2 linked regions of the Sus scrofa genome follow. The protein of the gene in region 1 interacts with the protein of each later gene in a pairwise test. Links are inferred from orthologs where the notes say so. Each region holds a gene or a part of one and is shown on either strand. Other genes may lie near its edges.

Region 1 (3,500 bases):
TATCCTTTTCTTGAAGCATTCTGGAGAATTCTGCTGTTGGGGAGAATAAGTAGCCATTAAAAATGAGAAATAACATAGTCAGTTGTAACCAGGCTTCCCCTTCCAGCAGAAATGTCTAGAAGACACTTTGGAATGTCTAAATACAATATGGCTGAACTTTTAAAAGATTTTGGAAATCTTTTAAAATCTTTTTAAAAGGTTGATTGGAAAAGAAATTAAAGTGAACATTTTGAAAAACTGTAAAAGTTTTAAAATCAACATTAGACCCCAAAACATAGTAAAGTACATAGAAAGACTCAGCAAGTACTATTCAAGAGCCAAAGGAAATATTAAAGTCAAGTCATAGGCAGGCAGAAAAGTCAAACGAATGGAAAATTATTGCATACTGGTACTACTACAGATTTAAATAATTCTCTATTGAAGAAAACAGCCATGTCTGATTTCATAATACTAGAAGCAATAGCTTTATTTGTTGTGGTCTTTCAAAGACGCACATTCCTGAGTCCTAGAAAGGAAGAAATCCTTCCATTAGCCTTCTCTTGAGATTCTCTGGACTCAAATTGCTGGTCTTACTGGGAAAACTCTTCTCTAGGATTATGAAACCACAGAAGCTTGTTTAAGTCACAGTGTAAGTGGCTGCAGAAGGTGTACTGTGGCTGAGCCCCAGGGTCATTTGTGTGTAAAGGGGAATAGCTGGTCCACACCCAGCCTCCAAATAACACATTGGCAGGCAGCAATAGGGAAGTGAAACCCCCCAGAAACTCCCAGGAGTCAAGGCACTCTTGCTTCCTCTCCTAAATAACCAGAGGGCTTCCCTCTTTCTGTTCATGTGTTTACCTAATGCCATTCCCTAAACTAGAGGCTGAATCCTAACTGCACCTGTTCTGAGGTTCTGCACACATACCATATACCCATGTTCAACCTCCACAGCAGTGCAGTTTATACAAACAAACACAGGCACAAAATATAATAACCCAGTGCACTCTCAGTTATCTGAAACTTTAGATAATTGAAGGCTGACCCTTTAAAAACACCCCCTTCCCTATTTCGAGGGCCTCTAAGAGGGCAGAGCTCATTGATTTCTTCTGCAAAGCCCACTGCCTCCTGCTTGCCAGCTATCTGTCTCCCAAACTTAGCCTCTACAGATACTTCTAAGCCCTACCACCTCTCCTCTCTTTTCTCTGAACTCTCAAGAGCGTTTTCTCTCCTGAGCTTTTCCCATGCTTCTCAATTTCACTTGAAAAGACAGCCCTTTTATAGCCATCATGGGCCAATCAGATGGCAATCTTAAGTATGCCCCTGATAATCTCTGGGTATTCAGCTCTGCTCAACTGTTTTTATTTTAAATTTTTAATTAAAGTATAGTTGATTTACAGTGTTGTGCCAATTTCTGCTGTACAGCAAAGTGACTCAGTCATATACATATATACATTGTTTTTTATATTTTTTTCCATTGCAATCTACTGTTTTCATCACCTATTACTCAATGTTTTTTATTCAGCAATACAAATGCTTTTTGGCATTATTCTGGAAGCCTGAGGAAAGAAGGAGATTCAATTCCAGATAATCTAGCCTGTAGTAGCATTTCAAATTCATTTACATGTATTGTTACAGACATAATAAGTTATATTTGGTATTTTTAAAATAGTATCCCCATAAACCAGATTCTTGCTGTCAAATCAATTTTGTATTCATTTCATTTAGTTTAACCTGAGGAATAATGCAGAAGTGGATACAAGTATTTGTAGGTAATAAAATGATCTAAAATTTAGGCAACACTTTACAATTTTATAAATTACATCAAAATTTAAATAACTGAATAGTACTTACTGTTGCATGATAGTTTCTATACATAGGCATTTTTAGTAACTTTGTTAAGTAATCCTCCAGTTGTTTCTGTAATGTGAATATTTAAGATTAGAGATGTCATCATACTTAAAGAAAAACATAAACAGTAACAATGATGTGATCTTTGTTCCATTTTAACTTCTGTAAACTATTTCAATTATTTGTTAATGCTATTACTGGACGAGGAACCCTGAATACACCCCTTTCAGAACATGGAAGTTTCAGATTACAAAACAGAACCGACATTTACTTGTTAATTTTCTGGTAAAAAATAAAATAAATTAACCTTCTACCCCCTGAAGACCGAAGCAGAGTGTCCTGCTCGTGAGGTCTCTATCTTCCTGTCGTATGTGTCTGTACTCTGTCCTACTCCACTCAGACCCTAACTGCCCCAATATAGCCTGGACATGAGACCATACATTTAGGACAAGCCTCCACAAATTCTGAAACAAATGTATGGAAGTAGATTATTTTAAAAGGATAGATCTCAAGGCCCTCAAGGATGAACTCAATCTTGACTCACAATGAACTCCAGGGGGTTCTGCAGGGAGGGCAGCTTCCTCCCAAAGTCACTCCTGACATAGAACTCTACCTCTTCTGGGGAAAGGCAACCTCCCCAGGGTCAGCGCAGCTTGGGGAAGAAGGATTGCCTAACTAGTTCTGAAGAAGCTAAACCTGCCTGGGTGATGGATAAGCGAGAGAGATAAGGTGCATCCAGACACACCCCACCCCTCAGCAGATGCCATGTTTATAGTGTGCTGTGAAGGTACGTTCAAAGCAGCAGAAGAGTGAAAGGACTCACCCTTCTACCAAAGAACTGCTCTTCTCGGATCATGTTTTCAGATGAACGGGGCAAACTGGGCATCTCTCGAGGCTCTTCTTTGACATTCTGTCTTCTAAATGTGTGTCTAAAACACACACACAGTGCAAACATTTATTAGCTTATCCTTCAAACTATGACTCTCATAACATCTTTGATGAGATGGCTTTTTTTTTTTTTCTTTTTAGGGCTGCACTTGCAGCATATAGAAGTTCCCAGGCTAGGGGTCGAATCAGAGCTGTAGCCGCTGGCCTATACCACAGCCACAGCCCCGTGAGTTCTGAGCCGTGTCTGCAACCCACACCACAGCTCACAGCAACACTGGATCTTTAACCCACTGAGCAAGGCCAGGGATCGAACCCGTGTCCTCATGGATACTAGTCAGGTTCGTTACCACTGTGCCACCATAGGAACTCCAAGATGGCTTATTTTTAGAACAGCCTATCTAATAAACAATATCCATCAACAATGGACTAGTTAGCCAATAGATGAACAAAATATTCTTTCCACCCAACTCGCATACCAGGATAACTTTATAATTAGTCCTGAAACAGTTACCTTCTGGTAGGAATGGGGATTCGGATAAAGGCTTTGTACTTGAGCAACTCTCTGTGAAATTCTTGGAAGTGCTTGAACTTCCTCTTAACTTGCCATTTAAATTCCCCATGTGTTAATTCAATGGTGTAAAGATTGATGCTTGGTACCTACAGTGATAAATAAAAATGGTTTGTATTTGAGATAACGATAAAAATTCCAAAATCAATGAACAATAATTAATAAGTAACATGGAAGTACCTTACAACCCAGTGCATTTATTTTGTGTAAGTACTTG
Region 2 (3,944 bases), on another chromosome or scaffold:
GTTTGTGATTTGCTGTGTGCAGTCGATGTGTGTAAGAGTCACATGGGTGTGTGTCACCGTGTGTGCTGGCGTGTCTCTCGTAGGTGTGTGTGTCCCTGTCATTTTTGACACGGATTATATTAATTAGGGGTTTGACGTTAGCTACTTAACTCCCCAGCTCCCAACTCCTTCCCTCTGGACAAGCCTTGAACAATCCCACCTCCTCCCCAGGTGCAGAGGGCTGGGTGAGGGCACGTGGTGCCAGCCGCCAGGTTTGAGCCCTCGGAGCAGGGGCGGCTGCCGCGGAACTGAGGCTGGGCCGGGCCAGGAGACCGCCAACCGCGGCGAGCCCGGAGCCAGAGAAGGGGAGGGAGGGGTGGGAGCTGGCCCGGCCGAGCCGGCTGGGCGGGAAGCAGGCTCCATCCTAATCCCCAGGCCCCGGTCCGACTCCCCAACTGCGGTTCAGCGTGGAATGGGCGGCCGGAGCCACGCCGCCTCCAGCAGACACTCCGCGCTCGGGGCGCACCGACAGAGACCGAGCCCGTGGGGCCCGACACAGAGCGCACCCGTCCGGGGCCCCCACGCTCGGCATCTGCCCCCGGGGGCGTCCCGGATCGCCGCCCCTCCAAGCCCAGACCCCAAATCTGTCCCTCCCCGAGACACGTCTCCTCTCGGCCCTCTCACCGCCTCTGGGGCTGAGCGCTCGGGGAGCGGGCACTCCGGCGTCCCCGGTTCCTGAGCAGCGTCCGGAGCCTCCTCCTCGGCTCCCGCCGCCACCGCCGCCGCCGACGCCGCCGCTTCTGCTGTCGCCGCCGCCTCTTCCGCCCGCGGAGCCCGAGCCCAGCGCCGCCTCACCCCACCCGGCTGGCCAGTGATGTCAGAGCCGGGGAGGGGCGGGGGGCGGGGAGCGGCGGGAGTGGGGGGAGGGGAGGCAGCAGGGGGCTGGGGTTCTGGAAGACTCCCGGGCTGGGGGCAGAAGTGGGGGAGGGCTGGAGGAGCGCCGCCGCCTCTCACCCTAAAGAGCGAAACCCAGTTCTCAGATGTAATTCTTCCCAGTGGAACACACCCTTCCCCTTACGACCTTTCAATGACCACAATGGCTGGGACCCTGGGAGGCGAAGAGTAAGTTAGAGTTTAAGGGCTGGGAAGGCCTTTGGCCTCAGGATCCTCTTAGCTGCCTGGCTTAGTATGTGGAAAAACCTTTTTCTTCCCCTTCTGGGTCAGGGGAGCCATAATGACCGCTCAGTTTTATCTACCTTGGAAGGTGGGGGCTGGAGGAAGCGTTGGGGGCAAGAAGCAACACAGGGACCTCCTCACTTGCCCTGGAGCCACAGACCTCTCTCCAGGGTGATGCCAGCCGGCCTCTTGTGGTCCTCTTACCTTTCCCAAATATACCACCCCTCTGCCTTCCCCCCACCATGATGTAATTTTATTTTTCTGGGGAGAAAAAGAGCAGCAGTGAGCTCAGCATGCAAATATAGACAACTTGCAATGCCACGCTTAGCTCTGTTTCCCAACTCTGCCCCTCTGCCCAGGCCCAGCATGGCAGCTCTCACTTCCCCTCCACCCCAGGGACTTTCCTCCCCCAGATTCTCAGCCAGACTGAAAGAGGGAAGGAAGAAGTGGTAAAGCATCTGTTTTCATTTCCAGCCTAAGGGGTCTCTCCTCAACTCTGGCAGAGTGTGGCGGGGGAAGAGGTCTGAGCCCCGTCAGTGTCTGTGCCACTTCCAGCTACAGCCTGGCAGAGACCCAGAGGAAGCCTCAGGTGAGTTCCTCCTTTTTTTTTTTTTTTTTTTTTTTTTTTTTTGCTTTTTAGGGCTGCACCTGCTGCATATGGAGGTTCCCAGGCTAGGGGTTTCATCGGAGCTATAGCTGCCAGCCTATTGCAGGGCCACAGCAACGCCAGATCCGAGCCTCGTCTGTGACCTACACCACAGCTCACAGCAATGCTGGATCCTTAACCCACTGAGCGAGGCCAGGGATTGAACCTGCAACCACATGGTTCCTAGTCGGATTCATTTCCACTTCACCATGACGGGAACTCTGAGTTCCTCCTTTCTTTCCTTTCACCATCCTCTCCCCCAAAGTGCCCTGTCACTGACCTTTGGATAGTGACACACCCTCACAATGTGCCTCTGCCTAGACCTCATTTGTTCTGTGTTGTAGGGGTGAAACCGATATTGCTGACCCATCTTTGAGACTCAGAGAAACTAAATGACTTACCTACAGTCAGTGAAGGGTCCAGGTCTTCCAGAGGCAGCCAGGTAGAAGGGACTTGGGCTTCACGCTGGCTCTACTCCTTTCTGGGGCAGGTTATGCCTCTGAGCCTCAGTGTCCTGGCTGGGGACACTGATACCTATCTCACAGGGTTCTTCTTAGATGTAGAAATTGTAAGTCTCTAGTGACTGGCGCAGATGGGTGTTTTTTAAAACATGGGCACTACCATTTAGTGGGACCTTCCACGGATCGGTGCAAAAATAAGTTCCATCATATTTTTGTATTGGTTCAGTGCCCATACTGTGTATTAAACATTTGTTAAATGGGTACAAGCTGGATGAAGACATGGGTTTTGTTTGTTTGTTTGTTTTGGTTTTTGTCTTTTTTGTCTTTATAGGGCCGCACTAGCGGCATATGGAGGTTCCCAGGCTAGGGGTCCAATCGGAGTTACAGCTGCTGGTCACCACCACAGCCACAGCAACGCAGGATCCTTAACCCACTGAGCAAGGCCAGGGATCAAACCCGTGTCCTCGTGGACACTAGTCAGGTTCGTTAACCACTGAGCCATGACGGGAACTCCTAGGGACTCGTTTTTTTGTGTGCCAGGCCCTGTGGACACAGAGAAAAGGCCTGGAGTCCTGCCTTCAAGGAGCTCCCAGTCTGGATGGGGGAGACAGTCGTGGAATTGAAGAGCTCGGCTGGAGTGGGCTGAGCACTAGAACAGAGGTGGTTAGTGCAGGGGGAGCCCAGAGGAAGGAGATGCCGGAGGGGCCACCTCTGAGAAGGCCTCCCCAAGGAAGTGTTCTTTGGGCTCAGTCTTGGCTTTCAAACAAGAGCTGAAGGGAGGGCGCTATCAAGCAGCACATAATCACTTAATTACCTATTGCTTTGTATTTCTCTTCAGTTGTTTCGGGTGCTTGTCTTGACTTCCCAGTGAGGCTAATCAGCTCCAGAGCAGGGACAGGCCCGGGCACTCTTTGTTCTCCCAGAGCCTAACAGCGGTGCTGGACAAACACCATGTGTTCAGAAAAGGCTTGTTGACTTGCAGCGGATAAATAATCCAGGCTTCTCTGGGATAACTGCCTGGAAGGAGGAGGCCCCCACCCCCCACCCCGTGATCACAGTCCCTTAACAAGGCACCCACACGTACATCCCCCATCCTCTGGCTGCCTCCCTCCTGCCGCAGGGTGAGACCCCATCAGCAGACACTTGCTCATGGTGCCCCAGATCCTTTATTAAGGTCTCTCGTTTGACCCAAATACATTAACAAGAGATTGCTGAGCTGCAGCCCCAAACACAGTACCCTCCCATCCTCCTGGCCAGGGAGAGGACAGTCAGAAAGATAGAGGATTTGAGAGAGTGGGGTAAGCATGTGCTCAGGTGGAGGGAGCGAGCGGAAGAGAGATGAGGGCCCTTAGATGCGGCAAGAGGGAATCGCAAGAAAGCGCATGTGGGGGGCGGTGGAAGAAACAAAAAATGGATACAGGGATATCGTGGGACAGGAAACACAAGTCAGAGAGCTGGGCCAGTGTGTAGGGAAAGGTAGCTCCTTGGATCTCAGCACCCAACATAGAGACTTCAAGGGCCCCAAGCCAGAGGATGACCTGGTGTCCCTGGAGGCGCTCAAGGAAGGACAGGGAGGGCAGGAGGGAGCATGAGGAGGGCAGGTGGGGCTGGGCGATGGCTGCCCAGCACCTAGTCGTCGTCGTCATCATCGTCATCGTCATCTTCGTCATCATCCTCTGTGT

What was found.
Region 2: the proteins of PLD1 (region 1) and PEA15 interact in a two-hybrid assay, tested with the Homo sapiens proteins (2 studies listed by BioGRID). The link is inferred for Sus scrofa from reciprocal best matches to the Homo sapiens genes PLD1 and PEA15.

Annotation. Positions count from the first base shown.
Region 1 is NC_010455.5:110,285,820-110,289,319, forward strand, and holds part of PLD1 (phospholipase D1), read right to left. Parts: intron 3,373-3,500; coding exon 3,227-3,372; intron 2,757-3,226; coding exon 2,651-2,756; intron 1,897-2,650; coding exon 1,831-1,896; intron 1-1,830. UniProt on the Homo sapiens protein: Function as phospholipase selective for phosphatidylcholine. Implicated as a critical step in numerous cellular pathways, including signal transduction, membrane trafficking, and the regulation of mitosis.
Region 2 is NC_010446.5:90,273,343-90,277,286, forward strand, and holds the start of PEA15 (astrocytic phosphoprotein PEA-15), read right to left. Parts: upstream 2,801-3,944; 5' UTR 2,203-2,800; intron 995-2,202; 5' UTR 664-994; intron 1-663. Other genes in the region: CASQ1 (calsequestrin-1 precursor), read right to left, coding at 3,892-3,944. UniProt on the Homo sapiens protein: Blocks Ras-mediated inhibition of integrin activation and modulates the ERK MAP kinase cascade. Inhibits RPS6KA3 activities by retaining it in the cytoplasm. Inhibits both TNFRSF6- and TNFRSF1A-mediated CASP8 activity and apoptosis.